Caenorhabditis elegans: one gene and its partner. The protein of the gene in region 1 purifies or fractionates together with the protein of each later gene. This does not show direct contact. Each region holds a gene or a part of one and is shown on either strand. Other genes may lie near its edges.

Region 1 (7,577 bases):
AGATTTGCATACCTGTCCGTATAAAAGAACAATGCCAAGAAAAATGAGAAAAATAATTAGAAGCAAATTAATCGGTCTACTGGCACGAGATTTCATTTCGAAAAAAATATCGGAATATTTTGATTCCACCTGCCCTTTTATTGGTGCCGTTCCGGATTGTTTCGTAGAATACTTTTTCAGATTTAATCGCGATTTTGTCCAGTTTTCCATGCCGAATTTCGATGGTTCGACAAGATTAGTGGACGACAAAAAGAAACGTTTTGTTCTCAAAATTGCTTTTGGTCGGCGACAAATGTTTCGGGAAAATTCTAGTTTTTTTTGGAGGAATTTGTAAATTTATCAGGAGAATTTTTAAATTTACCAGGAGAATTTTAAAATTTACCAGGAGAATTTTTAAATTTACCAGGAGAATTTTTAAATTTACCAGGAGAATTTTTAAATTTACCAGGAGAATTTTTAAATTTACCAGGAGAATTTTAAAATTTACCAGGAGAATTTTTAAATTTACCAGGAGAATTTTAAAATTTACCAGGAGAATTTTTTAATTTACCAGGAGAATTTTTAAATTTACCAGGAGAATTTTTAAATTTACCAGGAGACTTTTTAAATTTACCAGGAGAATTTTTAAATTTACCAGGAGAATTTTTAAATTTACCAGGAGAATTTTTAAATTTACCAGGAGAATTTTTAAATTTACCAGGAGAATTTTTAACCGGTTTTTAAAATTTTCGGCAATTGCCGGAATTGCCAAGATTGCCGGAATTTGCGATTGCCGGGCATTTTCGGCAATTTTGAAACCTAGTCATATTGTGGAAATTGAAAAAATTTCACCTTGTCTCTTAGTATTCATTTAGTCATTTTCTGAAAGAAAACGTTCAATCCTTAAAGGATCAAATTATGTTGAGCTTGAAAATAAAACATTTTTCATCAAAATGCATGTTTAGGCTCCTAAATCTACAAAAAAGTATCAAATTTATATTTCCGACAATTCTGATTTCCGGCAATCGGCAATTACGGCAGTTGCCGGTTTCAAAAAATTCGATAATTGCCGAAATTGCCGAAAATCGATTGCTGGTAGGCAATTGCCGCGCACCCTTGTTCTTCAGTAGAGTACAGTACTATATTACAGAACTGCCACTACAGTACCCTTACAGTACTCCGACACTTTTTCCCTAACCAGGTACGGACCGTCACTGCAAAGTTTTAAGCGTTTTATTTGCAGTTTTTGATGTATTTATGTGTAGAGTTTTTTGGAAAATTTTGAGAATTTTTTAAATTTTAGTTTTACAATTTTTAGATGTTCGGTAATAATATTCCTTATTGAAAAAATATTAATCATTTCTAATTCAACATATGGAATTCTGGTTTTGATACATGTTAATTAGCGTTCTTCAAGTGGCTCTCCTTCTCCTGTAATCCACCGAACATTGTGGACGTCAACACACACACACACACACACACACACAAAAGACGAAACGACCCAACAAATACAATTACGATGTCTTCTCCGTCTACTCTCTCATTCTTTAGGACTAAAGAGGCACAGCTGCCAGTAACAGGGACCCCTCCTTTGTGTCTGCGTCTCTCCCTCTCTCTCTCTTTGGGGTGGCCTTCGTCTTCTCCCCCATCCTGCACACACACACACACACCCTGACACCACAACGGTTTCATGCAAATTCTATATAATATTTATTGATTTTCTATCCTTATTAATTTCAAGTTAAAGAGTTTAACTCTGAAATAAAAATCTTTGAAAATGAGGAATTTTCTGGTATTTAGCGTAATTTTTATTGCGTACAACAGCTGTGAAGCAGCGAATATTCAAGCAGGTGAGTATTTTTCAAATTGATTACCTATATAAAAATTTGAGGTTAAATCCAAGAAATTATAGATTTTAGCCAAATTTCCACGAATTGAATGAATTTGCCCAAGCTTGGACCCGAAACGACAATTTTTGTAAAATGCAAAAGGGCATGCGTCTTTAAAGAGTAATGTAGTTTTCAGCTAGGATTTGCTATTGAAAAACTAAAAGAAAAACTATTTTTTAAAAAATCAATAAAATTAAACGTCTCGATATTACAGTCATCTTCAAAGACGCACACCATTTTGCATTTTACAACAATTTATCGCTTCGAGACCAAAAATAAATTTTTTTTTTTTTGGTTTTAAGTCTCTCCTCTAATTCGGCATTTTTGCGCTTGCATTTATTGTTATAACATAAGTTAATCTATTTTTTAAAGCAACTTCATAAAGTTGCTTGAAAAAATTGATAAAATTATTTCGACCGTAAATTTGTATGGTTTTTCGTGACGAGACCCAAGATTTTTAAGGGTTTTTTGGCAATTTTCAGTGAAGTTTTGTGAATTTTTTTTGTGTATTTGAACGTTTTTAGTATGAAAACTATGAAAAAAAAACAAATTTTTAAAAAAATTTTCTGAATTTCCATCCGTTACATATTGAGTTTAATAGCATATTTTCATGGAAATTTTTATAGATTTTTCACAGTTTTTATTTCAATTTGCTATTGTTTCCGGTGAAAAATGCATCTTTTTCAAAGATCAAACTTCGCAACAACAAAAGTTTTGCAAGTACAGTAATCTTCAAAGGCGCACACATTTTTTCATCTAACAAAAATCTAGACCGGGACGACCGTATTTTTTGACCCGAGCGCTTTGCAAAATTTCGCATTTGCACGGATTTCTAGATTTAAAAAAAGGATTAAAGGACGATCACGTTTTTCAAGTGCTATGCACTGCGGATCTGGGATTCAGGTACCTGCCTGGTGGTGATCCCTCATTAATTGAAATGGAAGAGTTTTTGCCGAACTAGGCCATTTTGGCTCGTCCATATTTGGGGTAGATTTACGGCGCGTTGCGTGTCGCGTCGCGGCTCGCCTTTAGTTGTAAAAATAAATGTATTTGTCCGTCGGTAGATTGTCAATGGAGCGCGATAAATGCAATGAGGAAGGCCAGAACCCCGAGATTTGGGTGTTAAAAAAAATTTTCTTTCCAAAAATTCAAATTTTCGTGGGTTCAACAAATCAAGGATCATAAGTCAAAAACTGAGCGAAAAAATTATGCTTTTCGAGATGATAAGGTCCCATTCATTACAAATTGTATAAAATTGTGTATGCAAATATGCTCTAAAGATAATTTTTTTTGTTTACCTAGGTATTAGTGTCATCAATCCAATATATATGTATTTACCTAAATTCTTAATTTTTGCAGACAACACATTTGCCGACCCGAACATTGGAGAATTCCGTGAACTACTAATCGACCCAAAAGCCGGTGCTCTTTTTGTGGGCTCCGAGGGAGCCATTTTCCGTCTTTGGGCTTATAATATCAACGATACGGGGGAGAATGTGTTCGCCAAAAAACAACTGGTGCTCAGCGAGTCCGAAGAATCCGAGTGTCGTTCGACGGCCAGTGACGAGCGATTGTGCCGCCCGTCGACTCGATTTTTGGCGTTTACGAATAACCTCGACTCGATTTATGTTTGCTCGTCGGTTGGCATGAGGCCGGAGATTCGTGTGCTCGACTCACTTTCGTTGCGAGACCAACAGGAGCCGCGGACCGAGATTGGGATTTGTGTTGTGGATCCGACGTTTAATTTTACGGCGGTTGTGGTTGATAGTGGGAATCCGGAGGGTAAGCAAGTGCGCTCTATTGATAAATGAAATTCATTGATAATTTGGCTGCAATTTTTCAAAATTGTTTTGAAACTTTTCTAGTTTTGAATGAGTTTGCTTAAAAAAATGACCAAAAATACCCAATTATTTTACAAAAACTATCAAAAAACATCCTTGAATTTTGCAAAAATTTTTGTTGCACAGAAAGTGGGGCGGAGCGTAGCTTTCGCAACACTGCCGCACGGGTTTGCCTCCGCCCCTTCTCCACTGCTTTTCTTGTTGATTTTTTCAATAATGTTTCGATTTGACTATTATTTTTCTCTTTTTTCGAAACAAAAAACTTTTGAGGCAAACCCCGTGCGGCAGTGTTGCGAAGTTACGCTCCGCCCCACTTTGTGTGCGACAGAAAAAATTTTGCAAAATTCAAGGATCGATTAATAAGTTTTGATAGTAGATTTTATCACCAATCCCCACGTGGTGTCAGGCTGCTTCATTTCAGTTTGATCTACAAAAAATGCGGTAATATTTTTCCATAAAAACTGTGACGTCAGCACGTTCTTAACCATGCAAAATCAGTTGAGTACTCTGCGTCTCAACTCCCGCATTTTTCGAAGATCAAATCAAAGTAAGACATTCTGACACCACGTGAAATTGTGAAAAAAATATTTGTTTTAGTCTAGAATTTGGATACATTATCTATTTTCTGCAAACTTTGTGAATGATAATTCTAAATTACACTTTTTACTGTGATTTAGAATTATCGATATTTGAAAAAAATTTTGCAAAAAATTTTTTATTTTATTCTCATAAATTTTGCATCAAAACATTTTCCAAAAAATAAAGTGCAAATTCCAAAAGTAATTTTTGCAATAATGTTTGCCAAATTGTTGCAGTTTTCATTTGCAGATGCCACATCCGTATACTCTGGAATCCGTACAGGAATGGGCGGTGAGAATCATCTGATCTACCGTCCACCGCTCACCAAAAACGGCAAACAACTGCACGCCAGTATTCGAACAATCTATTCGGACAACAAATGGCTCAATGAGCCGCAATTCGTCGGCTCATTTGATGTCGGACAGCATGTGTTCTTCTTTTTCCGTGAAATTGCACATGATAACTCGTTCGGCGAGCGAATCGTTCATAGTCGTGTGGCAAGAGTTTGTAAAAAGGATATTGGCGGGAGAAATGTATTGCGACAAGTTTGGACGTCATTTGTCAAGGCTCGACTTAATTGTTCGGTTTCTGCAAATTTCCCGTTTTATTTCGATCATATTCGTAAGTTAGGCCACCGAGTGGAGCATCGTGGCCGAGAAAAAGAGAAATTGAAAAAAAATCAATTTTATTCATTTTCTGTTTGAAGTCTTGAAACCCTTCAATTCGTGATATTATACTAATTTTTCACGGATTTCTGGCTACCCTCATAAATTGAAATGGAAGAGTTTGCCAAAGTAGGCCATTTTGGCTCGGCCATATCTGGGGTAGATTTACGGTGCGTTGCGTGCCGCGTCGCGGCTCGATTTCAGTTGTAAAACTAAATGTATTTGTCCGTGTGGAGTACACGACTTTCTCACGAGTTGTCCGGCAGGCGAGAGCGCGAAAAATTCAATGAGCAAGGCCAGAGCCTCGTGATTTTAAAACAAATGTTCGCCAGTTTTCGCAGTATTCACGTGGTGTCAGGTTGTCCCATAACGGTTTGATCTACAAAAAATGCGGTAATATTTTTCCAAAAAAACTGTGACGTCAGCACGTTCTTAAACATGCGAAATCAGTTGAGAAGTCTGCGTTTAAATTCCCGCATTTTTTGTAGATCACAACAAAATGGGACATTCTGACACCAGTATTGAAAAATATGGCGACCGAGTGTAGCATCGTGGTCGCACGGGGTTATGGTCTTTCTCATTGAATTTTTCGCGCTCCATTGGCGATCGCCCGCCGGACAACGCGTGGGAAAGTCGTGTACTCCACACGGGCAAATGCATTTAGTTTTACAACTAAAATCGAGCCGCTACGCGACACGCCACGCGCCGTAAATCTACCCCAGGTATGGTCGAGCCGATAAATTTAAGGAAAAAAAATCATGAAGTTCTCAAATTTAAGACCGTCTCAATAGAGCGCATCTACACTGTCTATTTTTTTTTTCAGAATCCGTAAAACGCGTCGACAAACACGGAGAAACCTACTTCTACGCCACGTTTTCCACATCGGAAACCGCATTTACTTCTTCTGCGATATGCATGTTCCAACTCTCTTCAATCAATCATGTAAGTGGTGGCCGTGGCCGCCAAACAAATCAAATTAACTCGGCCACCTATTGAACTTTGTGTTTTCAGCTCCTCGACACCGGCCTCCTAATGGAAGAGACTGCGAACGGGCAGTTTTCGGTGACCGCCGACGAGATTCCGGCTCATCGCCCGGGAACGGTAGGTGGAAAATGTGCTCTATTGCAAAATAAATTTTACAAAAAAAAATCTAGTTCAAAAATGAAATTTTGCGTCAGAAGTGGGCGGAGCCGTAGTTTTAGAATTTTTGAAAAATTTGAAAGCCCGCCTACGCTCGGTGTCTTCTAAAAATCGGTTTTAACTCGGCGGGGCTTATTTCAAAAAAAAATTTCTTTAATTTTTTGCAATTTTTTTCAAACAATTTTGATGCGGAGCACGTGGTGTCAGGCTGTCCCAATATAGCTTTATCTACAAAAAATGCGGGAATTTTTCCCAGAAAAATTGTGACGTCAACACGCTCCTCCATTCGAAATCAGCTGAGAACTCTGCGTCTCTTCTCCCGCATTTTTTGTAGATCAAAGCGAAATGGGACTTTCTGACTCCACGTGGCCGAGCATATTAACAAGGAAAACATGCGTTGGTCCGAAAATATTGATACCAGGGGGCGGAGCTTATTTAATGATTTTTTAAAGGAACATCTTGGAAGCCCCACCCATTTCTGACATAAAACCCCTTTTAATCGATTTTTCAGGATGTTAAAATCAATTTTGATTGAAAAATACCTATTTTCCGTTGGTGAAATTCATTTTTAGATATAAAAATTGTGTAATATAAGCCCCGCCCATTTCTGACGCGTTAACCACTTAATCATCGATTTTCTCTCTTTCAGTGCTCACAAAACTCGCACAGCATTTCGGATACGGATCTTCACTTTGCAAAAACGCATCTCCTGGTTTCCGATTCCATATCCGGCGGAACCCCGATTCTGCCACTCCGTGACCACGTTTTCACGCATATTGTCGTAGATCAACTTCCCAACCAGAATGTGATTTTTGCATTTGATAGTGCAAATCGACGAGTTTGGAAAATTTCGCATTGGAAAGAAGGAAACGAGTGGAAATCGAATTTAATCGAAGAAAAATCGCTAAAAATTGCGGCCTCCCGGATTAATGACGTGGCACTTTTGCCTGCCGAATTCTTCTTTGTCACGTCTGGAGCCGGTGTCTCCCAATTCTCAGTTGCTCGATGCTCGGAGCAACCATCCTGTGCTCTCTGCTCCCTTGATCCCTACTGCAGCTGGAATGCGGTCAACTCGAAATGCTCGCTGAAAACAAAGACAAATGAGAAATCAGTCGGCTGGATTTCGAGCTCATGGGCTGGAAGAATATCACCAGAGTGCTCCGCTGTCGAGAAGCTTACCGTTAAGGATGTCTACTTGGGCGACGGGCTCCGTTTGGTTGGAGCCAAGAATGGGGTGTGGCAGAAGGATGGGCGGAGTGTTGAGAGTGGGCAACGGCACGTGGTGACTCGGAATGGGGAATTGGTGGTGTTGGATGCGCAGTTGGAGGATGCTGGAACCTATGAATGTTTGAGAGATAATATTATTCTTGTTAGAGCAAGAATTGTTGTTCATGGTAATGAGTTTTAACAAAAAATTCAACTGAAAAAATCACGAAAAACTGTACTTTTTTGCGGCCATGAAATTAATTGTAGAAAAACTGCAG
Region 2 (5,036 bases), on another chromosome or scaffold:
AAATTTTTGAGTTTTTGGGGTGTGAAAATTTTCTGGAAGCTTCGTGAGAAACCTATAAAAATTGACACATTTTTTCTCAATTCTCGATAAATTAAAAAAATTCTCGAAACAAAAAAATGTCCTTCATCTACTTTTTCACATTTTCAAGAGCATTAAAATTTTGCAACTCTGGAAAAATCCACTGTTTCAGTAATTTTACAAGCTTCTTGCCATATATGTGGTGTTAGAGCGTCCGATTTCGGTTTGATCTACGTAGATCTACAAAAATTGCGGGAGAAGAGACACAGGGTTATCAACTGATTTCGCTGACGTCACAATTTTTGCGCAAAAATTCCCGCATTTTTTGTAGATCAAACCGTAATGGGACAGTCTGGCCCACCATGCGTATATTTTTATCCGAAATTTTATCTCTCCAAAAATAAAAGCAATCTTTTTTTCTAAAATTTCCAAAATCCCAAAAACTCGCCACTTGAAAATAGTTTCATTGTCCATCATCAACATCAGTTCCCTCTCTCCTCAAAACTAGAATAGCAGATGATAGTCTGCCTCATCTTTTTCCATGCCATCTCCAGTCATCGTCTTCCTGTAGGGCCCCCCTCCTGTGTCTCTGCGTCTCTTCGTCTCCCCTACTCTCTCACTTCCTGATTGGCTCGATTGTCCATGACGCCGAGGATAAGACAAGATTTTTTCTTGTGCAATTTCTGTGACTTCTGGGACCAAAAAAATATCGGAGCCACTGCAGGCGATGTTTTTCTGTTTACTTTGTACTTTTTGTTTTGATTTTTCTGAAAAAATTACCGAAAATACTTTATTTTTTATTATTCCGAAACGACGTTTTTCCGATCGAGAGCAGTTTTTTTTGTAGATTTTTGATTATTTTGAAAAGGTTTTTGGGATCGGAAATTTTTTAGTCAAGCTTAAAATTTTTTTTAAGTGTTGGTGTAGATTTACGGGGTCTAAAAGTGTGAAAAAAAATTCAGAAAATAAAAGTTCCAAAAAAATTCAAAACTATCACCCAGACACAAAATTTAGCGATTTTCCCTTCAAAACTACAGTACCTCGGGTCTCGAAGCGACAATTTTTGATATTTTTTTTATTACATGCAAGAAGGTGTGCGCCTTTACAAAGTACTGTAGTTTCAATTTTTCTTTTCGAGTTTTCATGCATAGTTTTTCACATGATTTTTTATTTTCTATAATATTTAAGTTTTTAAATGAATAAACATATTTTTGCTTGAGAAACTATAAAAATTGGCAAATTTCGAAACTACATCGTTTCGAGACCAGGGACTGTATTTTTAGAGCGAAAATTCTGGAAATTTTCAACTGGAAATTTTCTCTTTTTCTTAATTTAGGAGGACCCTAAAAAAAGAGTATTCTTAAAATTTCAAAAAATAAAAAATATATCCCTCATTTCGGCTTGATCTACGTTGATCTACAAAAAATGCGGGAGAAGAGACGCAGAGTTCTCAAGAACTTGCTGACGTCACATTTTCAGGGCAAAAAACTCCCGCATTTTTTGTAGATCAAACCGTAATGGGACAGCCTGGCACCACGTGCCCTAGATTAATCAAAGATTTTAAGAAAAATCCGCTCCAGGAGCATTTCTAAAGACTACTTAAATACGTGGTGTCAGGCTGTCTCATTACAGCTTAATCTACAAAAAATGCGGGAATATTTTTCCAGAAAAGTTGTGACGTCAGCACAGCAGTGCAAAATCAGATGAGATGTCTGCGTCTCAGCTCCCGCATTTTTCGAAGATCAAAACGAAATGGGACTTTCTGACTCCACGTGCTTACAGAGTGTTCACCATTTTCTCCAATATTCGATCACCCTCATGCACCATGCCATTCCCCCCTCTTCACCCCCCGTTTCCCAAATACCAGACGGGCTCCAATTTCTGTCAATGATTTGCATCTCATTGACATTCGCCCCGCGGACACTCCATAATCATACCCCCGCCCCGTGACTCCGCCTCCTTTTTCGTTATTTGATTAATTTCGAACATTTTAGACTGCCTGCCTATAATGCATCATATCCTGAGACGTCGGTAGATTTTTGGTAGCAGACTTTTTTTTTGGATTTTTCCAACAATGCGTTTAGTTATTGCACAGTTTCTTCTAATAACTCAGGTATTTGCTGCACAAAAAAATAGTATTGGTAAGAGTTTTGTAACTTTAAAATGTCTGAAACTGTGAACTCCAGGTCCCCCGAAGCTTCTAGAACAATCAGGCGAAGAGGTGTGGTATCATTTAGATGATGAGGATCTCCTCAAAAACAGGTTGACACTTCGTTGCGAGGCAGATGAGAATACTGACAGGTGGGTGGAAATTTGGGATTGACAGGTGCTGCGTAAAACATGCAAGCCTACCTAGGCACCTACTAGGTGCCTACCTGCCTACGTGCCTTGTACCTCTGTGCCTAGCAGGTGTCTAGTAGGCACCACCAACCTCGTGTTTACTTGCCTACGCCTCTAGTGAACAATACATTTTTATGCCTGCTTGCCTACTGGCATAGTAGGTACTACAAATTCCAGCTCTGCCTACTGCCTATTTTTTTTTAACTTTTTCGGTTTTTTTAGTTGAGTTTTTGGTTTGGTTGAAGGTACTTCGCACTATGCAGCTTATGTCTGGGCGCCTGTATATTGTAGGCCCTGCCTATAGGTATACATTTTTAAAATAGCGTGCCTACGTGCCTTCATGTCTGAAACTGAGAAATCTTGTTTTTTTTGTTGAGAATTTGATGAAAATTTTTGAGAGAATTCGAGAGCATTTTTTAAAATAGCTGTGAAAAGTTTGCGAAAAACCGTCGCCTGCCAGGCGCCTACCGAAAGACATGAGGCAGGTGTAGGCCTCCCATGTGGTAGGCAGGTAGACATTTATGCCTATATAAATAAACTATTTCTGCAATAAAAGTATGTGTTTTTTGGTTGTAGGCACAAGACAGGCAAAGGTCACCTCGAAGGTAGGCAGGCACGTAGGTAGCTATTTAGGGCAGGTAATTAGGTAGGTATGTAGGCAGGCATTTATCAACTCTATTTCCAGATACTCCTGGCTCAAAGACGGTGAGCCATTCGTCATTGATTCCGAAGATGTTCTTTGGGAAAAAGAAAGTCAATCTGGATCAATTGTTTTTACAAAACCTCATGCTAGTCATCAAGGGTGAGAAATTCAGATTTTTGGAAAAAAAAACCAAAAAATATTGCAGATATTATCAATGTTTCGCATCGAATATATTTGGAACAGCACTTTCGAACAAAATGCATTTGAGGCTTGGATGTTAGTTTTTAGATGATTTTTAGAATTTTAAAATACTGGTGGGAAAGTCGAATTTTATTTTTTGAACAATTTTGTGAAAAAATTATTTTGGCGCATAAAAAAATAGGAATAAAAAACGTTAATTTTTCCAGAACACATTGGATTATTTTCAGCATGGAAAATGCCCTGAGAATGTTAAAATTTGAATATTAAAAAAAATTCTGCGGGAAGTTAAAATTCAATTTTTTAGTTTCTAACGAAATTTGGTGTGGAATTTTAACTCAATTTTTGCCAGAAATTTTGGTGGGAAATTCAAATTTAAAACTTTTCAAAATTTGGAAAAATTAAAATTCAGTTTTGAAGCCATTTTTTCAACAACTTCCAGTATCAATCAATAAATAATAAGAATTATGCTAATAATAATAATAATGTGTTTGTTTTGAATTTGGCTCAATGAGCACTCGAGTGCTCTTTTTGCCCCCTTTTAGCTCGCCAAGGTGCTAATTAGTGAATGGGGACGGATTTAATCAAGACCACCCACCACCACATGTTGATTATTATAAAAAGGGAAGGGGAGAAAAAAGAAAAAAGAAAATGATATGTTTTATCGAATGTGGTGTCAGAGCGTTTCATTTCGGCTTGATCTACGTTGATCTACAAAAAATGCGGGAGAAGAGACGCAGGGTTATCAACTGATTTCGCTGACGTCACAATTTTTGGACTAAAAATTTCCGCGTTTTTTAGATCAAACCGTAATGGGACAGCCTGACACCACGTGTTATCGAGAAAATTAATTATTTCCAGCACTGGAACACTTTCCAAAACGGGATGTTAAACTATTGAGAGTGAAGGAAGGAGAGTCGCTGACGTTGAATTGCACACCGCCACGTGGCACACCTGATCCGAAAATTGTCTGGCTTTATAGGTAAGGGAATAGGCAAAATTTCTTAAAAACACAGAATTGAAGTTTTCCAAAATTTTAACAAAAACAAAAAATTTGGGAGATTCGTAAAATTGCACGTTTTTTTGTGTAAAAAAAAATACGTCGAAACTTCCGGCAAATCGGCAAATTGCCGAAATTAAATTTCTGGCAAATCGGCGAATTGCCAGAATTGAAAGTTCCGGGAAATCGGTGAATTGTGGGAATTGCAATTCCCGGAAAATTGGCAAATTGTCGGAATTGAAATTTCCGGCAAATCGGCATATTGCCGGAATTGAAATTTTCGGCAAATTGGCAAATTGTCGGAAATCAAATTTCCGGCAAATCGGCAAATTGCCGGAATTGAAATTTTCGGCAAATCGGCAAATTGTCGGAATTGAAATTTCCGGTAAATCGGCAAATTGTCGGAAATCAAATTTCCGGCAAATCAGCCAACTGCTGGAATTGAAATTTCCTGCAAATCGACAAATCGTCGGAATTGAAATTTCCGGAAAATTGGCGAACTGTCGGAATTGAAATTGTCGGCAAATCGGCAAATTGCCGGAAACGAAAATTTCCGGCAAATCGGCAAATTGCCAGAATTGAAATTTCTGGAAAATCGGTAAATTAATGGAGTTGAAATTTTCGGCAAATTGTCGGAATTGAAATTTCCGGCAAACCGGTAAACCGGCAATTTGCCAATATTGAAATTTCCGGCAAATCGGCAAATTGTCGGAATTGAAGTTTCCGGCAAATCGGCAAACTATCGGAATTGAAATTTCCAGCAAATCGGCAAATTGCCGGAAACGAAAATTTCCGGCAAATCGGCAAATTGCCAGAATTGAAATTTCCGGCAAACCG

The links.
Region 2: the proteins of mab-20 (region 1) and lad-2 purify together in Caenorhabditis elegans (affinity purification with western blotting, with the first as the bait; one study listed by BioGRID). This does not show direct contact.

The regions. Positions count from the first base shown.
Region 1 is NC_003279.8:1,645,435-1,653,011, reverse strand, and holds the start of mab-20 (Semaphorin-2A), read left to right. Parts: upstream 1-1,554; 5' UTR 1,555-1,756; coding exon 1,757-1,829; intron 1,830-3,227; coding exon 3,228-3,650; exon of another isoform or gene 3,651-4,537; coding exon 4,538-4,909; intron 4,910-5,776; coding exon 5,777-5,895; intron 5,896-5,964; coding exon 5,965-6,054; intron 6,055-6,742; coding exon 6,743-7,487; intron 7,488-7,577. Other genes in the region: Y71G12B.18 (Methyltransferase FkbM domain-containing protein), read right to left, coding at 13-96.
Region 2 is NC_003282.8:2,975,455-2,980,490, reverse strand, and holds the start of lad-2 (Neuroglian), read left to right. Parts: upstream 1-2,006; 5' UTR 2,007-2,092; coding exon 2,093-2,159; intron 2,160-2,204; coding exon 2,205-2,319; intron 2,320-3,043; coding exon 3,044-3,160; intron 3,161-3,206; coding exon 3,207-3,277; intron 3,278-4,060; coding exon 4,061-4,181; intron 4,182-5,036.